Linked DNA regions of Stegostoma tigrinum. The protein of the gene in region 1 interacts with the protein of each later gene in a pairwise test. Links are inferred from orthologs where the notes say so. Each region holds a gene or a part of one and is shown on either strand. Other genes may lie near its edges. The genes, in order: tnfaip3 and tax1bp1b.

Region 1 (11,384 bases):
TTAACTCCTCCTCTCATTCCTTAGATGACATGTCCATCATGGGCCTCCTGCAGTGCCACAATGATGCCACCAGAAGGTTGCAGGAACAGCAACTCATATTTTGCATGGGAACGCTGCAGCCCAATGGTATCTATGTGGACTTCACAAGCTTTAAAATCTCCCCATCCCCCACTGAACCCCAAAACCAGCCCAGCTCGTCCCCTCCCCACACTGCATCACCAAACCGGCGCAGCTCGTCCCCGCCTCCCTAACCTGTTCTTCCTCTCACCTATCCCCTCCTCCCACCTCAAGCCGCACCTCCATTTCCCACCTACCAACCTCATCCCGCCTCCTTGACTTGTCCGTCCTCCCCGGACTGACCTATTCCCTCCCCACCTCCCCACCTATACTCTCCTCTCCACCTATCTTCTCCTCTATCCATCTTCAGTCCACCTCCCCCTCTCTCCCTATTTATTTCAGTTCCCTCTCCCCATCCCCCTCTCTGATGAAGGGTCTAGGCCCGAAACATCAGCTTTTGTGCTCCTAAGATGCTGCTTAGCCTGCTGTGTTCATCCAACTACACACTTTGTTATCTTGGATTCTCCAGCATCTGCAGTTCCCATTATCTCTGATGTACATACAGTGTTGTGTTTCTGCGATAAAACTTGCTTCTTTGAAAAGTGTGCAATATATCTGGCCTCTAAGGTATAACATGTTATCATGATGAATGTTGGAAAAGATCTACTCAATGGTTCATTCCGGTATGTAATTTATGCTCAACATTACCGAACAATTTAATAAAATAATGATTTAAAGAAGAATATTTAATGGGAACCAGACTTTTTTTTTCTTTATTCTTTCATGTCTTTTCTGATAAGTCTCATATTTTCTTCCCATCCCTAATTTTGCTTGAACTGAATGGAATACTACACCACTTCAGCAGGCAGTTAAGAGTCAGCTACATTGGTATAAACATAGAAACATAGGAGAAAGGAGCAGGAGGAGGCCATTCAGACCTTTGCATCTGCTCCACCATTCTTCACAATCATGGCTAATCATTCAACTCAACAGCCTAATCCTGCTTTCTCCCCATAACCTTTGATCCTATTCGTTCCATGCACTATAACCAGTTGCCTCTTGAATACATTCAATGTTTTGGCATCAACTACTTTCTGTGCAAATAGTTTCTGCAAAATTGCACAAAATATTCCAGGTATGGTCTCACCAAGGTCCTGTCCAACTGCAACAACACATCCCTGTTCCTGTACTCAAAACCTCTGGCAATGCAACCCAATATACCATTTGGCTGCTTTACTACTTGCTGCTCCTGCACGCTTACCTTTAGTGACTGGTGCACAAGGACACCCAGGTCCCACTGCACACTCCCCTCTCCCAATTTACTGCCATTCAGTTAGTAATCTACTTCTTGTTTTTGCTTCCGAAGTGAATAATCTCACATTTACCCAAATCACACTGCATCTGCCATTGATTTATTCACTCACCCAACCTGTTAAGATCATGCTAAAGGATCTCTGTACCCTCGTCACAGTTCACCCTCCTTCTCCGCATGGTATCATCTGCAAATTTGGAGATGTTACATTTTGTTCCATCATCCAAATCATTAATATATATTGCGAATAGCTGGTGTCCTAGCACAGATGCCTGTGGCACCCCACTAGTTACAGCCTGCCAATTTGAAAATAACCCGTTTGTTCGTTATTCTTTATTTCCTCTCTGCCAACCATTTTCCTATCCATCTTAATGCACTGCCCCCAATCCCATGCACTTTAAACTTACACATTAATGTTTCATGTGCGACTTTGTCAAACACTTTCTGGCTCCCCTTGTCAACGTTACGAGTTACATCTTCATAGAATTTCAACAGATTTGTCAAGCATGATTTCTACTTCATAAATCCATACCGGGATGGGTCTGAAGTCACAAAAAGAACCAGACCAAGTAAGAACAGTAGATTTCCTTCTCAGTGAGGGATCAATGAATGAGATGAGTTTTTACAAGATTGATGATAGTTTCATGGTCACTATTTCTGATACCAGCTTTCAATTCCAGATTATTTGAATTTAAATTCCAACCACTGATAATGTGGATTTTAACCTATATATCTCCAAAATATTAACTGAGACTGCTGGTTGACTAGTCCAATAACAGTATCACTGCATCACTATCTCCATGTATGCAATTACGGTTGTGCTACCGGGAACCAGAACTCAGGAATGTCAATGTTGTGTGTTGTTTAACCTTGGAATTGTTACTGTTGTGTACTATCTGAATGTGGAAGTATCAGTTCTGTACTATGTATTATTTGATTTTGCATTATCTGAGCTAAGAACTATTCGTGCAGAGCATTCTCTTTACTTGAACATAGACAGGTTTCTCCAGGATTGTCTATGTTTGTTTTAGGACAACAGATTGCCTTCTTCAAAGAACATTAATGAGCCAGATTGAACTCATGTCTCCAGACTTTATGAAGGAGGTGCTTTTTTTCAGGATGCTCTGAAAAGAGTAGGGGTAAAGACTTAAAGTTTAACAAAGAGGATTAACATGGCAGCCATGGAGGCACAGTATAAGGAGATGGTAGATCCTGTTGGATAGTTTCCTGAGCAGAAATTGGCAGAATGCCTCTTTGTCAGAATTTAGAAACAAGCGTTGAGAACACAGCTTGAATGGTGGTGATAAAGACCTTACTTGCCAGATCTTTCCTACATGCTCAGGGTCTCATCACCTCCATACTTTGGCCTCAAGGTGGCTGTGTTAGGTAAAATACTAATGTCCATCTGCCGAGCTAAATGTGCCTTTGCATTTATAATCAGACTGAGTAGAACATGATCTATTAGGACAGGTTGAAGTTTCTTACAAAATCTGGAATATTCAAGTAAAATATTTTGCCATTTACAAATTTTATGAATAAAGATTTTTAGAAGAAAACATGTCTAAAGACTGTAGAATAAAGGTTTATATTGTAAATCTATACATTTGAATTTGTGTGTACAAATGCATTAGCGCACTAATGACTAATGTTGTAAATTAGTAGACTTGCATTAATGATCTAGTGACATGAGTCCAAATCCCACCAAAGAATTAACAGCTTGGATTGTGAATAGTGAATTTTTGAAATTACCAGATTGTTGTAAAAATTGATCTGGCTCATTCATACTCTTTAAAGTGGGCAATCTGTTGTTCTAAAACAAACAGAGAATCCTCGAGAAATTCAGAAGTCTGGCAGCATCGCTGGAGAAAGAAACAGAGTTAACATTTTAAGACGGTATGACTACTTCTGACTGGACTCAATGTTAACTCTGTTTCACTCTCTACAGATGCTGCTAGACCTGCTGAGTTCCACCAATGTTCTCTCTGTTGGTCTTGGATTTCTATCATCCACAGTATTTTGCTTTTAATCTGTTGTTTTAATCTGGACTAATATGTAAGTGGGTCCAGATCCATAGCAATATGTTTGGTTTTTAATGATTCTCTGAAATAGCCCAGCAAGTTATTCATTACATTCAAAATGGTGGCACACAACCATCTTCTCAAAGTCAATTAGGAATGTCTAATGATGGCTAGCCTACCTTATTACATCCAAATGTCATGAATAAATTAATAAAAAATATTCACTAATAATATTGTGAACTTCTGTGATACCATCATCAGTTCGCTCTAAAAGTACGAATATAGGAACCAAAAGTTAACTTTAATGTCAGGAGGTCATGAGATAACATCTTTACTCTTGAAAGAAAATTAAAGGGAATTCATTTTACTGAAGTGTCAAAGAATTTAAATGATGTTCAGTAAACCTGGAGCATTTCTTCAGTATATATCTTGATGATAGGGACTGGGAACATAAGTGTAAAATAATGAAAATGAATATAAGACTACTGGCTTTCTATCTCAAGGACCAGAATACAAGGGGGTAAGTTTTATTTCAGAGATAGAAATGCATATTTTAAATGATACCCGGAATCTCTCTGACAGTCACCTACCTCATTAAACATTGATTTGGGCCTTTGGTGGTCAACCCTTTGGTCAGTGAAACTGCAAGGTCTTCTTCAGAGCACAAGTCAAAACTTACTGAGGCCGTGTGCTGTCAAAAATCAGGAAACCTAAGCTTGCCCTGCCCTTTTGGGCCCAAAAGAGTGCACATTTGACACTAGTTTGGCACAGGAGTCACCCAAGGTAAAAACACAGTTAGGCATCAATTTGAATTTGGACTCCACTTCAGGTGTTTTGTCATTTTATTACTCACATTAGGCTTCAACTTTTCCAATGTAGCCACAAGGCAATGAAGCTATCTGCACATAACTAGGAACTTGGTTCATGAATGCCAGGGTATGTCCACATGCTAATGGCCCTGATAATCCTTCACTGTATGTCTGGGGGCTTACCATCCTCTGAGTTCCTCAGAAGCTTTAGACTGGGGTCATAAATGATCTGGTTTCTATGTGCTTCCATGAGAAGATATAGCTGAGCACCTGCCAATGGAAAGGCCGTATACTGACAGAGAGGAACATTCACATTTGGTTCACTTTTTCAAATAGCAGCTAGCCAACTGAAATCCAGTCCAGCACACAAACAGCAGGAAGCATTATATTTCTTTTCATCCAATTCTGGACACAGCACATCGACATTGAGTAATGTGTTCAGTTCAGGGTGCAACAGCTAAGGAAAAATATAATGACCTTGATGGGAGTTCAGTGGGGATTTACAAGGATTTACTAGAATGATAGGTAAACTCAAAGGGTTAAATTATTTCTTGGGTTTTTTTTATAAGCAATTACATAAGCTAGTGTTTCATTCCCTGGAATTTAGAACATGCTGGGGAGATTTGATCAAAATTTTCAAGATATTAAGGGGAAGTGATATGCAGAAACAATGTACTGGTTGGAGAATCTAAGACATGGGGAATAGCTAAAAAATTAAAGGTGGGTCACTTAACAGTGAGGTCACATGAAAAATGCAGTTGTTGTGAGATAATCTGTAAATTTTAAAACAAAGTTTGATACATTACAATAGTTAAAAGTAATAAAGGTCATGGAGTAAAGGCAAACTCAAGTCACTGTCAACTATAGACAATGGAACAGTCCTAAGGGCTAACTGGTCCGATCTTCCTGTGGTGGGAAGAATTTATTCACATGAAGGGATCAGTAAATGGAGGAGAATTCCAGGTATAATACTATAGAATGATCACATTCACAGAAAGAGGCCATTCCATGTGCTCTGTCTGTGTTGGCCCTCTGCAAAAGCAATTCACTTTCTGTGTTTTCTGAAGAAGGGTCTAGGCCCGAAACATCACCTTTCCTGCTCCTCTGATGCTGCTTGGCCTGCTGTGTTCATCCAGCTCTAAACTTTGTCATCTCACTTTCTGTGAACTCCTGTTGCCATTTTAGTGGCAACAAAATTCCTGAAGCCATTCTTAAGCCACTTCAAATGATGCGATTCCTCTAAATGAATAAGCAAAAGGAGGCCAAATGCAACATATTGTATTATGACATGTGATACTTCACTGCATTGTGACCTCGGCTTTTTTTTTATCTGCCCCATATCAGCCTGCGTCCAAAATGAATGCAGACATTGGGAATGCTGAAAAAACTCTTCAGGTCAGCATTTTTGAGAGAGGAACAGAGTTAGCATTTCGAGTTTCGTAAAGTTTCTTCTAATTCAGATTTCCAGCAACTACAATATTTTTGCCTTTATTATGTATGTCTAAAATGAATGCTTTGGAATATTTAGACATCCTTTTCTTTAGTGTATAAAAATGTGATCCAACTGGGATTAGATTTTGTACAAGCATGAGATTTAGATAGACTGCGACCTGGGCTCTGGGGCTCCCTCTGTCGGTGACCAGGACAAGTCAGAGCAAAGTCTGGTTGGAAATCCCCGCTGGAAAGTCCCGGCGTGGTTTCCCTTTTCATCTCGTTCAGTTTCTGTCTTCTGACTTTCGCCAAGGGAGGGGAGATAGAGAGAGAAAAAAAGTGTCTGCAAACCGAACTCATTGTAATGCGAGTGTAGCCCAGAGCCTGCAGTAGCTTTGCAGTTTAAGACGAGAGAAGAAGGGGGTTCCGCACACTAAGGCCAGAGCGAGACTGGTTTGAAAACCCATATAACAGGTACATGTTGTTTCTGACTTGCAAGTAGCAGGTGTTTTCTGTGTGCTCTGTTTGCAGCATGCTTGATTTTTTGTTTAAATGTGACTTGCCTAGTTGCTTCATTCATCAGGAGCTGGCTGTTTTTGAGTGGACCAAACATTAATGTGAACTCACTGACTTTGTCTATCTCCCTCAGGGGCTGCTGTGGAAGATGGCAGCTGAAGGCAGTTTGTTGCCTCAGTTTCTCTTCGCCAGTAACTTGACTAAGACGGTGAGGCTCAGGGAGAGGATCGCCAATGACTTAGTCAGACCGGACTGCACCAATGGTTTGATACACCATTTCAGGAGCCTTCACAGATACACGGTGGAGCTGTTCCGATTGAGTCATTTCAACCTTCGTTTCAGGACTAAAATCCAAGACGCTCTGTTTGACAAGGCCCAAGAGGCTGCCCTTCAGCAAAACAGGAACCTTAACTGGTGCAGAGAGGTCAAGAAACTTGTGCCTCTGAAGACAAACGGTAAGATTTACAACTCATTTTTCTACAATTTTGAAAGTGGTGTCGTGTCTTTAATCTGCACTGCCTGTAAAAGAACTAGCATTCTGAAGAGGATATATAGTGATTGCCCAGTAGATTAATGGTTGGAAGATTATGTGCTTTCTAATACTTAATTTCAGTCCTTCACATCAACAAAATATCTGGATGCAGAATAAGGATTTAATCAGCCCTCATCGTCTATGAATATAGGATTGAAAAAGATAGTCACAGACTTCTAAATCATTAAAATGTAATATCAGCTTAGTGGATATCACACTGCATCTATACACAATGTTTATGTATCTATATTTGATGCTTAAATTAATTGAAGTTGTAGTAGAGTCTGTTTCCACATAGTGGAGTTAGCTGAATGACAATTAATTGATGTTTAATTTTTTCATTCAAAGTCAAATATTTAATTCTTCCAAATAAGGAAATTTTCTGTGTAAGTAATATCTTAATATCCAAAGAAAAGAACAGGTGGATTACTTCAGGAGCCAAGTACTGAATGATCTATTCATCTTAGTACAGTGATCCTCCATTGTAATCAGGTTTGATTTGATTTTAAATGAAACCTTGTATATAATTGTAAATTTCATTGCTTTACTTTGTAAGTAGTATTTCAAGACTATATGATGTGAATGTATGTATTTTGCATTGAATGTGTGCAAATAAAATGCCTAGGATTTTTTGAAAATGTGTTTCAGCTGGTGTTAGCTGTTAAATAGTTGTACATTCACCCAAAAAGATTTGAAATTTGGGCGGTTTCTCAGGTATGAAAGCTTGCAGAAATTGTACAAGGTAGTTTGCAATATTAGTGAAAATCACTACAGCAGCTGAATCCTAAATGTATTGTTCCTTAACTGTGGACAGATAATAGTGTTTCATACTGCTCACGAACAATACATTTTTTTGAAAGCAATTTTGAAATAATTCTGAAACTTGCTGTTGCTCTTTCATGCAGTTTCATTTTCAGTTTAAGAAGTAAAAGATTCATTATGAAAGTCTAAGCATTGAAGCCAAAAAAATCCTTCATGAACATTTATAGAATTGTGTCTCCACTGTGGGGAACAATATCAATTGTGAATTCATGTTTGTTTTTTCCATGAGTTATTTGCCAATAGAGAATGTACAGACTACATTCAGAAATTTAGGTATTTTCAGTGATTCAGTGCTGACGTGTCTGGGGATATGAAAATATTGTAAATGGGGAAGAGTGTAGGTGTCTGTTAAAATTAAAACTTCCCCTAAAAGTCCCAACAGCAATTGGTTGAATCAAATTTTACTTGTGTAATGTATAAACATTCCAAGTACCCAACTCCCCAACCACACCCACTTGGAAATTCCACTTCACAAAATAGGGCTCAGACAGCTACACATTACAAAAGAGAAATGGCGACTAGCTGGCTGACTGACTGTATGCTGTGTTAGTCAAATTGCTACTCATTTGGAAATTCCATAGATTGCACAGGGAATTTTATACGGCCCATTCTTAAAGTCTGAACATTGAACTCTGTGCATTCCGTGATGATTAATTTTAGTGCCCTTTTCAATGTGTACCATGCCTTAAATAGGTTAGATCTGGTTATAACACCCGCCTCAGTTTTATTTTCCCTTTCTTTTTCTTCCTCCATTTTCAGCTCCGCCCCACAAAAAAATTACAAATGAACTATAAATTTCTGTTGCAAATAGGTCCACGTGTTACTCGTTCTTCCACCATATTCAGTTTGACTGCTATAATATGTATTATGAGGACAATCTTAAAAATCATCATGTAATAGTAAAATACTGTGCATACTGCTATTCTGAAACAAACCTGGAAAACACTGGAGAAACTCGGCAGGCCTAGAAGGATTTGTTAGAGGAAAAGAGCGTTAATGTTTTGCATATAAAATGCCCCTTCCTAAAATCACTGTGGCAGTGTAAATGCGTTGGAAAACAGTTGATCAAGGATACAAATGTTACTATAATTTTATTTTTTTAATTCTTGTGGTAAACAATAACAAGCTTTATTCTTTTGTAAGGATAATTTCAATAAATTAATGAACTTAAGCTTCGTGCTTTTAAACTCCTGTATTGAAATTTGAAAATGTGATAGTAACCTTGGAATATTCACTAAATCTGGGCAGTATAAAACACCATTCTATTTCAGATGAACTCAACTCCTTATAGTTATAATTTTGTCCAAAACGAATTGGTTAAAAAATGAATAAGCTTCCCTTGTCTACTATGAGAAAACAAAATACTGCTTGAAGTCTGAAATAAAAGCAGTAAATGCTGGAAGTACTTGGGTCAGGCAGTAACAATGGAGAGAGAAACCAAGTTAACAATTCAAGTTTACATCAAAACAGAGATAGTAGGAACTGCAGATGCTGGAGAATCTGAGATAACAAGGTATAGAGCTGGATGAACACAGCAGGCCGAGCAGGAAAGCTGATGTTTTGGGTCTGATTTCTGAAGAAGGGTCCAGACCCAAAATGTCAGCTTTCCTGCTCCTCTGATGCTGCTTGGCCTGCTGTGTTCATCCAGCTCTACACCTTGTTATCTTACATCAAACAGTTCTAGCGAAGTTTAAGGGTCTGATTTATATGGGACAAAATGTTCCAGGTCCCAGAGTAGGATCAGGAAAATAGTGGGGAACAACACTGGGAATGCTTCCTGACACATATCCACCGAGAGACAAATTTTTGCAGGGTGGAAAGGAATCGCTGTGCACTGTAATGCCCATCAGCTTAATGTAAACTGTTTTCATGAGGCATTCCAGAAACATTGGAGCTGAAGGCTCCATCCCTCAAAGAAGTGGCCACTGAAAGCAAAAGCTCCTAGCAAGTGCTGGTGGCTATTCCAATTTGGCCTTGATGTCAAGACCCCAGTGGTGTGAGGAGAATCCTACCTGTTAATTCTGTTTCTGTCTTGCTCTCTGCACAGATTATATATATATATGCTGCATGCTTCCAGTATTTTCTATTCTGTATGGTGTTTTCAAAGCCGTCTTTCCAAAAGAAGGGATTAATGTTCATTATAGCTGCTTTTTTTAAAAAAAAGTGCTATCTGTAGAAATTAAAAGGCTGCTTGAATGTTTGGCCATGTCAGGAGGAATCTCAAAATGCACTTCTGTATTACTTTTGAAACACAATCACAGTTGTTTAGTAAGTAAAACGTCTAATTTGCATACCAGTTACCACAAATGTTGACCAGACAGTTGCAGTTACTCCCTGCTCCTCTTCAAATTATACATTTGAACTTTTTAAATATTTCTTCTGAAAGCACCTTTAAGTATGCAACATACTTTCAATACCAGTATTAGGTTTATTTTTATGCTCAAATGTGCAGTGAAATCTCATTCCCAAAGATCTGATTCTGGAAAAAATGTTACTAAATAGACCAAAACAGCTCTGAACTTGTTTATGTAGTTAAGTGTTAGTGAAATATCCAAGTGCTGTAACTTGTCTATCCTAAATTTAGCAAAGTTGTAAACGATGGGCAGTCATGTAGTTTACTTAATCTAACTCTGACATTAAATTCTGCTTTCTAATTTGATGCCCCAATGGAGAATAGATTGCTATGAATTATATTCACTGTTGGTCTGAACGGGTTTTACAGTTTGGTCCTTTTATCTGCATGTAAATATCCGAGACAAACATTTCCCTTTGAACACAACCAAGCTGTGTTTTGGCCAGTTTCATCTTGCAATAGCTTTTGTTCCTGTTCATGTTGTTTTCATACCTTCACACTTTGGAAAGCAGTGTGATGTTGTGAAATGAATCATAACTGGTTGTGCATGTGAACATTTCTGCCATGGCAATAAATATCTTTGTATTAGCTCATAGAATGCTTAGTGACAGGTAGCATTTTATGAATACCTACAGCCTTAATGATGTTTGATTTGCGAAGCAAAGTGAAAGACTTTTGAGGAATCGAGAATAAGCCTTACATCACATAATAGCCAGTGGATCTCCTTTTTTTGGCTGGGTGTGACACTAAAGAATATGGGAAGGTGCCCAGGCTTGCTTTTTTACCCGAAGTGTTGATGTTATAATACACCTCTGATGAGGTGGAACCTTTAACTAATGCTTGCTGGCTCAGGGATGGGGGCACTCCACTGTACCCTGATAACCCTCCCCTGTACCTCAGACACTTTGTTTTTCTTATTTGTTCACAGGATGTGGTACCACTGGCAAGGCCAGTATTTATTGCTCATCCTTAAGTGTCCTGAGAGCAGTTAAGAGTCGACCCCATTGCTGTTGGTCTGGAGTCACATGCAAACCAGACCAGGTAAGGATGGCCGATCTCCTTCCTAGAAGGATATGAGTGGAGTTTTCCTGATTATTGACAATGGTTTCATCGTGGTCATCATTAGACTCTTAATTCCGGATTGTTAATTAAATCCACCATCTGCATTGTGAGATTTGAATCCAGATCCCCATATCATTATCGGAGTCTCTAGATTAATTGTCGAACAATTATACCACTGGGCCATTGCCTCCTGCATCCCCTGTACCTCAAGAAGACAATGCCCGTCATGTGTAAGGCCTTGTGCATAAACTGTTGTCTTTAACTCCTATTGTTTTTAGCAAGAAGATGTAAATTGTATTTGTATAGTTAATGTTTTGCATTAATCCACAGTTTTTATGAAAAATCATTTTATGTTATGCTTTTCAACTCTGCATGTGGGCCTTAGTTGCTTTCTTTACTGTTTGCACTTCCACTCCAAAAAATTCACCAGTTCTAGTGTGAGATAATAGTCCTGTCATTCTGCCGAAAGGAT
Region 2 (11,463 bases), on another chromosome or scaffold:
CAGATGCGGTTTTAGGATGCCTTTAGGATACCTATAATATGAACATGCTCTCAATTTGACCCTTTCCAAGGCTGGCCTTGCATTAGCCACATTCTAACCAAAGGCACTAATGCTACTTGCACACATTTTTAAAGATAAAGGACTGTCTGTAATTGGACCAGTTTTCTAATTATCATTTCATGAAATCCATTCTTACTTGATCTGCAACTGATTCAAAAAGGTGAGAATTAAGAAATGGAACAAATCACAACAGCAAAAATAAAAAAAAAATTGTCACAAACATGATTCTACAAAATTCAAGACCACTGAATTACCTGGGCTCCTAAGTCCTCTATTTCCTTGCATGATTCTGGGAAGACATCTGAAGCAATAATGGGATAGCCATGCTTTATGAGGTTCTTTGCCATTGGATTACCCATGTTGCCCAGACCAATAAATCCCACTTGGGCTTTCGAGGCCATTGATCTGGAAGACACTATTAGACCAGTCCTTTTTAATTACAACAGAGTGACACCTTTCATATTTTGCAAGTTACATTCATACTTAGTAAAGTCAAAAATGTATTTGGCTTTGCACAGGACTAACATAAAATAGGAGTAAACCCAAAAATGGGAAAAGTGTAGTTCGATGTCATTTATGCTGTTAGCCAATTTCAACTCATCCAGCTTGGGATATTACAATTCTGCTTTTCTCATTTCTCTAGTGACTTGCTTACAATTCTAAATTTCTTCTGCACATTCTTCTAGCTCTCAACTCCACTTAAGAAATGGAGAAAATATGGCATTCGTCACCATTGCTCACTACCTCATGAGAATCTATTCCAGGTTAGCAATAGCACAGTGTGGAAAAGAATCTCATCTCAAACACAGCAAACAAAATAGGAACAAGGTCGTGCTGCCCTTTGAGCCTGTGATGGCATGACCATGGCAGATCACCAACTCAGTTTCTGCTTTAAATGCCATAACTTTTGATCCCTTTAACCCCAAGAATTATACCTATTTCCTTTCCTTCTTGAAAAGAAGATTTTGGCCACAACTATTTTCTGAAAAAGGATCACTGAATTCAAAATATTTGTGCAGGCTAGGTGGATTGGCCATGCTAAATTGCCCATATAGTGTTCAGGGGTGTGTGGGTAATGGGGGGCTGGATCTGGGTGGGATATATCAAGGGGTGGTATGGACTTGTTGGGCCAAAGGGCCTGTTTCCACACTGTAGGGAATCTAATCTAATCAACTTTTTCCTCTTTACGAGAACTGCCAGAGTCACTGAGTTTCTCCAGCCATTTCATTTTTGTTTCAGATTTCTAGCATCCACAGTTACTTGTCTGGCAATACTTCAGGTGTGGTCTCTGCTGGGCCCTGCACAATTGCAGCAAAACATCCCTGCTTTCATACTCAAATCCTCTCACTATTTAGGATAACATACCGTTTGCCTTCACCCCCTGCTGCAATTGCATGCTTACACTCAGTGACTGGCATAAAAAGACAGCTCATTGCACCACCCTTTCATAATGTATCATTCAGATCATAATCCACTTTTTTGTTTTTGCTACCGAAGGGGATGACCTCACATTTAGACACATTATACCCCATCTGCTATGTATTTTCCCACTCAGTCAGCTTGGCTAAATTGTACAATTCATCTCAACATCCTCCTCAGTTCACCCTCCCACCCAACTTTGTCATAGGCAGACAGAGGCACATTAATTATTTAGATCAAGGAACTAAATGTAATGTTCTGTTCTGAGAAAGGGTCACTGAACCCCAAACATGAACTCTGATGTTTCTTTCTTCACAGATGCTGAGTTTTTCCAGCAACTTCTGTTTTTGTTACAAATGTAATGTGTTTTGGGAACAGCTCTGGTCCAAGCATTGATCCCTGCAGTACCCCACCAATCCAGTTTAAATCTACTTTTAAAAAACTTGTCCATTAGCTTAAGCAATCTGACCTAATAAGTTATAATACTCCAACTACTCTTCCTTCCTTTTCTACTTCAATTATGTGAATAAGAGGGTTGGAAAATTGTGTTTTTAAGCACAATTACCTGACTGAGAGTCAAATCTTCAAAATTCACCTCAGCAAGCTGTGTCAGTAACTATAAAAAAGATGAAATACACACGACAGGTATTATGTATTTAAAAACTGTAGTATGCATCCAAGTGTTCTCCATAGAAAAAGGTTTGGATGCTGCAATTTTAGACTCCCTCACACCACGATAATTTTATGCTCTATTTCAATAGTCAATGATTTATGGGTTATGTTGAAATCTGTACAAAGCACTGCTTCAGCCTCATGTACAATATTGTTTGTAATTCTGGATACCACTCGGCATTACACAGTGGAAAGGATCTGGAAAGCACTACCTGAGAATGTGGTGGAGGATTTACTATCTAGGCAGGGGGAAACATGCAAGGCTTCAAGGAGAATACAGAGGAATGGCAATAACTAAATTGCTCTTGGCAAGAGCCGACAGGTGTGATAGGCCTTATGCCCTTCTGTGCTGTAACAACTGTGATATTATAGGTAAACAGGGATCAAAGACCTTTTAGGTCAACAGAGACATTGAAACAAAATTCCTCAGTTTTGCCAGGAAACTTAGTATACGGAAATGGTATTTCAGGTGGATGTCTCAAAAATAGAATCTTCTCCTACATTTCTAACATAGTGGTACATTTACCCAATTACCTCCAAAAATGCTGTTCGAGGAAGTCATAAATTTATAACTGTAGTTTTATTGTATTAAGTGTAAACTGCATTATTAAGCAAAGATGAATTTAGTGTTTCATGCAAGTTTTAAATCATGGAGTTTTACTTTTTTAAATTTAGATATTTACAAGATGTAACATCTGTGTAGGCTTCTTCACCACAGAAGATCTGAACGACTACTATAAAATTAAATTGTTTTTGGAACAGTCACTGACGTAATGCAGGTTGATACAACGCTGCAACCAAGTTTTAAATTGTGATAAGGTCAAACCTCACGATAAGATGTCTGCCATACTTAGAAACGTTATTTATTAACTAGAGTGGAGGACAGGTCAACAGAATACAAATACATGAACCTGCCTCGCTCCCCTTCTCAGTGTACCCTTGATCAAGTTGCCAATGCAACTGCAGTTGCAGGCGATCTCCTTTTCTCCACTCAAGTCGTCATGCATTTCATCTTTACTGAATTCCTCCAAACCGTCTTCTGACCCAAAGTAGAAATTTATGCCTCACTAGTTTGTAAGCAATTACTCGTTCTATGCCCTTGATTTTGTGCCGTGTTTGATGCTGTTGACCATCACGACCACAACATCATATCTTCATTACACTCCAGCTTTGTAACTACTTTTCAATGGTTCCACTCTGAACTAACTGAAGTTGTTGCAGTGAGGGCTACACTTCCATCGATCCAAAATTCCCCTCTATGCTCAACTATGAAGACCTCTTCTTGGCCCATGACCTCTTCCACATTTACATGGTGCCCCATGCCAAAGTCATGAACTATCACAAGGCCAAAATATCAACACAGATTACCATCAACATTGTCGAAATAGCTGCATTCTCTCGTGTCAATGGTAACTATTTAATTTTCAACAGTATCTGCCATTAAAGATCAAGACTCATGTTTTGGGGCTGAACAAGAAAACTACACTCACCCTCGTTTCCAACTTCAAACCCTCCCCAGCAAAACGCATGTTGTCCAAAACAGATCAAGTATTACCATTCAACACGATAGACTGAATTCCAAATCCAACAGCAGATACAACATATATCCAATTTCACGAGACTGATCTATCCTCAGATTTTCAATTGCTGAAACCTTGGTCTATGATGGTACATCAATTTTGTCAACAAATTCCTCCCGCCTCCCATTCTTCATTCCACATGAATTCCAGCTTATTTGAAACTCAGTGACTGATGCCATTTCCCACAGTATTGTTCAACATAAAAAATGCTGTAAATGCAATTAAGTTCACTGAATGACCAACATTCACATAATTAGTGGGAAGGATGGCTAGATGATGTACATATCCATATTTTGGGCAGCATAGTGGCTCAGTGGTTAGCACTGCTGCCTCACAGCACCAGGGACCTGGATTCAGTTCCACCCTCAGCTGACTGTCTGTGTGGAGTTTGCACATTCTCCCAGTGTCTGCGTGGGCTTCCTCCCACAGTCCAAAGACATGCAGACTAGGTGGCTTGGCTATGCTAAATTGCCCATAGTGTTCAGGGATGCCTAGATTAGGTGGGTTAAAAGGGGGAATGGGTCTGGGTGGGTCAGTGTGGATTTGATGGGCCAAAAGGCATGTTTCCACACTGTAGTGATTCATTAAAAAATGAATCACTATAATTTTTAAGCAGCATTTAGCATAAAAAGGTGCCAATCTTGGTCAATCACCAATTGACCTTAGTTGGGGCAAAGTTTTCAATACTAAAACTCCTAACCATACCCCAAGCACCACAGGCTCCCGATTACAACCCAAACAGCTAGAAAAGGTCACATGTGGACATAACCAGGTTTAAGGCAGGATTTTTTTTTTTTAAAAAGTAAAGCCATTATCATGCATAGAACATAGAAAGCCCCCCCACCCCCCAAAATATTTAGTTTAAAAATCACAGCTATTCTGCAAATTTATCAAAATCATGGATAAAAACTCATTTTTAATACTAGCACAGCAACAAAAGGCAGGAAGTTCTAAAACATCAGGATACTCCAACTGAAGATACCTCTAAATTGCAGGAAGCAAAAGAAAGCTAAAAAGACCAAAGTGTGGGAGCAGAGGTACACCTGGAATTGGTTAAAACAGCAGAAACAGGACCTTGACAATGAGGTAAAATACAAATGAATTGAACTTGTCAGCATTAAGGTGCAGGATTGGGAAAGGAGTTAAAACAAAACTGTCTTCCATCACCCTTTATTAATATTAGTCTCATCAAGCACACCATTAATGTCCTTGGCCAAGATGTTGGAGAACTACAAGCATCTGTTTGCTGCATTAGGAGTAAATTGCAGCACTGTCAATTCTGCAGTCATTTGTTTAATAATGCCAAATGTACTCTGAAAATTTGTCAAATTCAAACGTCCCAACAAGCCTAATACAATTCTATATTTGAAAAACTCCAAGCATGTTTCACAACTGAATTCTATTTTCAACATGCAAGATGATACAAATTCCACCCAGACCAAACACCTGATGCCAAATGTTACACTTAGAAGTGTTATATAGTTTTGGAAGGCTTTTTTAAAAATCTGTTGTACAAACGTCACTAGTTATCTTGCAAACGGATGAACAACACCAAAGAAAAATCAACTAGTGTACAACAATCCACATGTATGAGTTAAGATATGAGAGAAAAACTTCGGAGCCCGCCCTTTCAACTTCTACTAAAGTGAGTTAAAACCGTCGGAGTGTTACTATACAGATGACAATTGGGGTGGGCTAAGGGAGAGAAAAAAAACAGAAACATATTTTAAGTTATTGCAGCTTCCACTCTGGCTCCTAAAGGAACGTTGTCCGACAGGTCCTTGTAAAGCCTTCACGCTCAGCATCGACATTTCCACGAATGCAAACCAAAAAAGTGCACAAAAAAACAAGCAAGAAGCCTTACCAATACAGTGCCGAATATAGTTAGTATACTTGAGGGACAAGTTGCTTGACCTCCTTATAACGGCCGCCATACTTATGTTCTCTGGCCGACCTCTAGTTGCTGTGATTGCCAGGCTGAGCAGCCTATCACCGGGTAGAGAGAAGTGGGCGTGACAGAGCCCGCGCCAATGCATAAGCTGCAGGCGATGACGCAAGCGCTAACCAATCAATAACATCTGGCACCGGGACATCCCTGGAATGAGCAGCTGAAGCTCGTAGCACTTCGGCATTGCTGCTTTCTTACTCCTAGTTAAACTCGGTCCCCGAGCTCCCATCTGTTTACCACATTTGTGTCTGCCAGAGCGATATTATTCAGCACGGGATGGAGATTTCTTCCGATTTGTGAAAAAGGACGTGATTTGAAACCTCAAGTTTATAATTCGTGCCCTGATTACAGCTTCACTGCTACAAGAACCGGACAATAATCCGTCCATTCACATTTTTAAATGTTGCTTCAAGAGTGATGCTTTGCATAGCAAATCCATCCAGGTGATTTGTTTCAATTCGTTCGCATGCACTTGAAATACTTATTGTAAAATCTTCTATGATCTTACTTGATAGTGTTCGCAGCAAGTCAACCAATTGTTCTTAAGCTTTGATTAGGCAGTTTTTTTTGTTTCCTACTGTTAACAATAAAATGTAAATTTCTTTCAACCTTTGTGGGAGGCTAGGGAGGAAATTGTGGGGCCCCCACCGGAGATATTTGCATCGTCGACTGCCACGGAAGAAGTGCCTGAAGGTTGGAAGGTGCCTAATGTTGTACCATTATGTAGAGAAATGTCTGGGAACTACAGACGGGTGAGCCTGACGTTGTTAGAGGGGATTCTGAGAGACAGATCTGCAGACATTTGAGGAGGCAAGGACTCATTTGGGATAGTCAGCATAGCTTTGTGCGTGGGAAATCGTGACAATCGTGACTCATGAATTTGAAGAGGTGACCGAGTAAGTAGATAAGGCTATTGAGGTAGATGTCTACATGGCCTTTAGCAAGGTACCACATAATGGGTTGTTGAGTAAGGTTAAATTTCACAGGATCCAGAGAGAGCTAGCCAACCAGATACAAAATTGGCGTGATGGGAGAAGACAAAGGTTGGTGGTAGGGGGTTGATTTTCAAGCGAGATGCATGTGAACAGCAGTGTTGGATTGGATAAATGATTTGGATGGGAATTTAGGAAGCATGGTTAGTAAGTTTGCTGATGACACCAAGATCGGTGATTATAGTGGACAGTGAAGGTTGTCTGGGAATACAGCAAGATCTTGATCAACTGGGAAAGTAGGCTGAAGAATGGTAGATAAAGTTTAATTGCATTTTAGTAGTTCAAACCAGGGCAGGACTCACACAGTCACCGGTAGGGCCCCGGGGTGTGTCATTAGAACAAACATCCCAGGGTAAAGGTTCGTAGCTCTTTGAAAGTCGAATTACAGGTAGACAGGATGGTGAAGGCAGCTTTTGGCATGCTTGCTTTCATCAGTCAGAGCAGTATAGGAATTGGGAAATCTTGTTGCAGCTGTACAAGATGTTGGTAAGGCTACATGTGGAGTACTACAAGCAGTTCTGGTTGTCCTACTATAGAAAGGATATTATTAAACTAGAAAGAGTACAGAAAAGATCTACTAGGATGCTACCTGAACTGGAAGGTGTAAGGAGAGGCTGGATAAGCTGAGAGTTTTATCCCTGGAATGCCCAGAAGTCTATTAAATTATGAGCGGCATAGTTAAGGTAGAGACCCAACAGTTTTTCCCTAAGGTAGGGGAGTCTAAAACTAGAGGGCCTAGTTTTAAAGTGAGAGGAGAGAGAGCTACAAAAGAGTCCAGAGAGCTAATTTTTTTTTACACCAAGGATACTGTGAGTCTGGATTGGGCTGCCTTCTGAGGAGGGGTCACTGGACCTGAAATATTAACACTGATTTTTTCTTCACAGCTGCTGCCAGACCTGCTGAACATTTCCTTCAACTTCTGTTTTCTGTTCTATGACTCTGTAACCTTGTTTGATCGTTAAATTGCAATGCACGAGAAATACAGTGGACATCCATGTACTTTCTCTTTCTTTTTAAATAATGAATGACAGATCTTGAAATCATTACTAGTGCAATGAAACTAATATTTATTGATTTGTAATATTTTAGACAAAAGCAAGAAGAACACAAATGAAGTAATGCTACAATATTTGCATTGTATACTCTTAACAGCAGTGGAATAGGTCATTACCCTAGCAGGTCCTTGCTGCTATGTATGCAACACATAAGCTTCCATCGACATGTCTTTCTTTAATCATGTCAATATATCCTTCTAGTCATAAGTCATATTGTGTAAAAGGGCTGTTGCACGGCAGTGGTATTGTTCACCCTTTGTGTCACACAGTCTGGGTTCTACAGGTATCTGAACAGGTTGATTTAAAATATCTACAGTTATGACAGCACAGAAGAAAGTCAACGACCTGTTTAGTCCATGCCAACAGTCTTCACTGCAATTGAGTCACTTTCATTTCCCTGTTCTATCTTACAGCCTTGCAAATTTATATTTCAGTTTAATTTTTAAAGCATTTCTTTCTTCCTCAAAAGCAGGAAAAATCCGACCTGGCCAATACTGCCCCATCAGTCTACTTGATGTCACCAACAGTGCTTTCAAGCAGCCTCTCCCCACTTGGGGTTCCCCCAGGGCTGCTCAGCTCCAGACCTCAGTACAGCCTTGATTCAAATACAGACAAAAGAGCTGAATTTCAGACATGATGTGAGAATGACAGCCCTTGACATTGAGGCCATTGTGGCCAAGAAGCCCTACCAAAACTGAAATCAATGGGAATCCGAGGAAAAAGTCAGCACTGATTGAAGTCATTTCTAGTGCATAGGAAGATGATTGTGGTTGTTGGTGTGTTATCCCAGCGCCAGGACATTTCTGCAGGAGTTCCTCAGGGTAGTGTGCTACAGGCAAAATCTTCAGCCACTTCATCAATGACCTTCCCTAATGTAAGGACATAAGGTCATAAGCTCATAAACAGGGATGATTCACTGATGATGGCACAATGTTCAGCACCGTTTGTAACTCCTCAAAGTGAAGCAGTCCATGTCCAAATGCAGCAAGACCTGAAGAATATCCAGGCTTGAGCTGATAAGTAGCAATCAACATTTGCGGCACACAAATGCCAGGCAATGATCATCTTCAGTGAGAGACATTTAACCACCGCCCCATGAAATTCAATGGCATTACCATCCCTGAATCCTTTATATCAATATCCAGGGAATTGACTAGAACTGAACTGGACTCGCCATATAAATACTGTGTAGGTCAGAGACAAGAAACACTGTAGCAACTAAGTCAGCTCTTGACAGAACTTGGCTACAGTTGGTGCTTGACAATTCTGCCTTGTTGTGTATCTTGAAGACTTATTGGGTAAGCATCCTCCAAGACAATAGATGAATGGACACCATGCAACAATCACTAGACAGGAATGCTCCTCCCATTTGGTGAAAACTTAAGCGGTGAAGGACATTCAGCCCTTGATCTTCAGGTAAGCATCCTCCAAGGTGGCCTTCGAGATACACAACTATGCAGAATTGCCAAGCAGAAACTGATAGCCAAGTTCTATACCCATGAAGATGGCCTCACCCGTGATCTTGGGTTCATATTGTGCTACCTGTGACCCCACCACATGGTACTATATCTATACAATCTTCCCTCCTGTCTTGTTTTGTCACCATCACCTGGACAAATTGTTATGATCTCTCTACCTTAATTAGTTTGTACAGTTTTATTATTTGGCACTTCACTCACACCATTTGTGTAGTCTTTGATCTCTGTCTGCCATTAAATTCTGTGTCTGTGTTTCTTTCTCACTTGACCTGAAAAAGACACTACACTCTGAAAGTTTGAGATTTCAAATAAACCTGTTGTCTATAACCTGGTGTCATGTTACTTCTAACCTTGAACACATTTGACCCAGCCTCAACAGGCCTCTGACAAAAAGAATTTCACAGATTCACAATCCTTGAAGAAGAAATTCCTCCTCATTTCTTTTTAAATGTTCTCTTTATGTAATCTGAGATTAATCTCAATAATCTCATAATCCGAGTTTATGCACTTTGCTACTGGACTGTTCCAGAAGGGAAATAACCTTTCGGCATCTTTATACACAGTTTGGATCGTCTAATTACCAATGTTACTGCACATTACACACACATAACTGACGGACCGAACACACTGTTCTCATTAAGGGTCGCTGAACCCAAAACGTTAATTCTGATTTCTCTCCACAGATTCTGCCAGACCTCCAGTGAGTCATACAACACAAAAGCAGACCCTTCATTCCAACTTGTCCAGGCCAACCAGATATCCTTAACTGATCTAGACCCATTTCCCAGCATTTGGCTCATATCCCTCTAATTCCTTCTATTCATGTACCCATCCAAATGCCTTTTAAATGTTATAATAATATCCACTTCCACTATCTCCTCTGGAAGCATGTTCAAGACATGCACCACCCTCTGGGAGAAACTGTTGTTCCTAGGTCCCTTTTAAATCTTTCCCATCTCACATTAAACCTATGTCCTCCAATTTTGGACTCCCCTAGCCTGGGGGAAAAGACCTGGCTGGCATTCCAGAGAAAAACCCAGTTTATTCAGCCTCTCCCTATAGCTCAAACCCTCCAAACCCCGCAACATCCTTGTAAACATTACTGAACTCTTTCAAGTTTAACATTTTTCCAACAAGGACACCAGAATCGAATGCAGTATTCTAAATGTAATCTCACCAATTTCTTGTACAGCCGTAACATGACATCCCGACTCCTATATTCAATCCGCTGATCAATGAAGGCCAGAATGCCAAGCATCTTCTTCATCACCCTGTCTATCTGTGACTCACTTTCAAGGAATTATGAACTTGCACCCCTAGGTCTATTTGTTTGGCAACATTCCCTAGAGTGCGACCATCAGCAGCGGTTAATGAAGAGCGCTGTCAGAGATTACAGCAGAATATAGATAGATTGGAGAGTTGGGCAGATAAATGGCAGATGGAGTTCAATCTGGGCAGATGCGAGGTGATGCATTTTGGAAGATCTAATTCAAGAGCAAATTATACAGTAAATAGAAAAGTCCTCGGGAAAATTGATGTACAGAGAGATCTGGGTGTTCAGGTCCATTGTTCCCTGAAGGTGGCAATGCAGGTCAATAGAGTGGTCAAGAAGGCATACGGCATGCTTTCCTACATTGGACGGGGTATTGAGTACAAGAGTTGGCGGGTCATGTTCCAGTTGTATAAGACTTTGGTTCAGCCACAGTTAGAGTACTGCGTACAGTTCTGGTCGCCACATTACCAAAAGGATGTGGACGCTTTGGAGAGGGTGCAGAGGAGATTCGCCAGGATGTTGCCTGGTATGGAGGGCACTAGCTATGAAGAAAGGTTGAGGAGATTAGGATTATTTTCATTAGAAAGATGGAGATTGAGGGGGGGACCTGATTTGAGGTCTACAAAATCATGACGAGTATAGACAAGTTGGATAGCAAGAAGCTTTTTCCCCAGAGTGGGGGACTCAATTATTAGGGGTCATGAGTTCGAAATGAGAGGAGGAATGTATATGGGAGATACGCGTAGAAAGTTCTTTACGCAGAGGGTGGTGGGTGCCTGGAACACGTTGCCAGCAGAGGTGGTAGACACTGACATGGTAGTGTCCTTTAAGATGTATCTGGACAGGTTCATGGATGGGCAGGGAGCAAAGGGATACAGACCCTTAGAAAATAGATGACAGGTTTAGACAGAGGATCTCAATTAGCGCAGGCTTGGAGGGCCGAAGGGCCTGTTCCTGTGCTGTAATTTTCTTTGTTCTTTGTTCTC

The links.
Region 2: the proteins of tnfaip3 (region 1) and tax1bp1b interact in binary tests that used the Homo sapiens proteins (3 or more experiments, as listed by UniProt). The link is inferred for Stegostoma tigrinum from reciprocal best matches to the Homo sapiens genes TNFAIP3 and TAX1BP1.

Annotation. Positions count from the first base shown.
Region 1 is NC_081357.1:45,696,508-45,707,891, forward strand, and holds the start of tnfaip3 (tumor necrosis factor alpha-induced protein 3), read left to right. Parts: upstream 1-5,850; 5' UTR 5,851-6,101; intron 6,102-6,276; 5' UTR 6,277-6,291; coding exon 6,292-6,598; intron 6,599-11,384. UniProt on the Homo sapiens protein: Ubiquitin-editing enzyme that contains both ubiquitin ligase and deubiquitinase activities.
Region 2 is NC_081355.1:58,214,316-58,225,778, forward strand, and holds the start of tax1bp1b (tax1-binding protein 1 homolog B), read left to right. Parts: upstream 1-5,868; 5' UTR 5,869-6,122; intron 6,123-11,463. Other genes in the region: 3-hydroxyisobutyrate dehydrogenase, mitochondrial-like, read right to left, coding at 315-475, 5,596-5,665.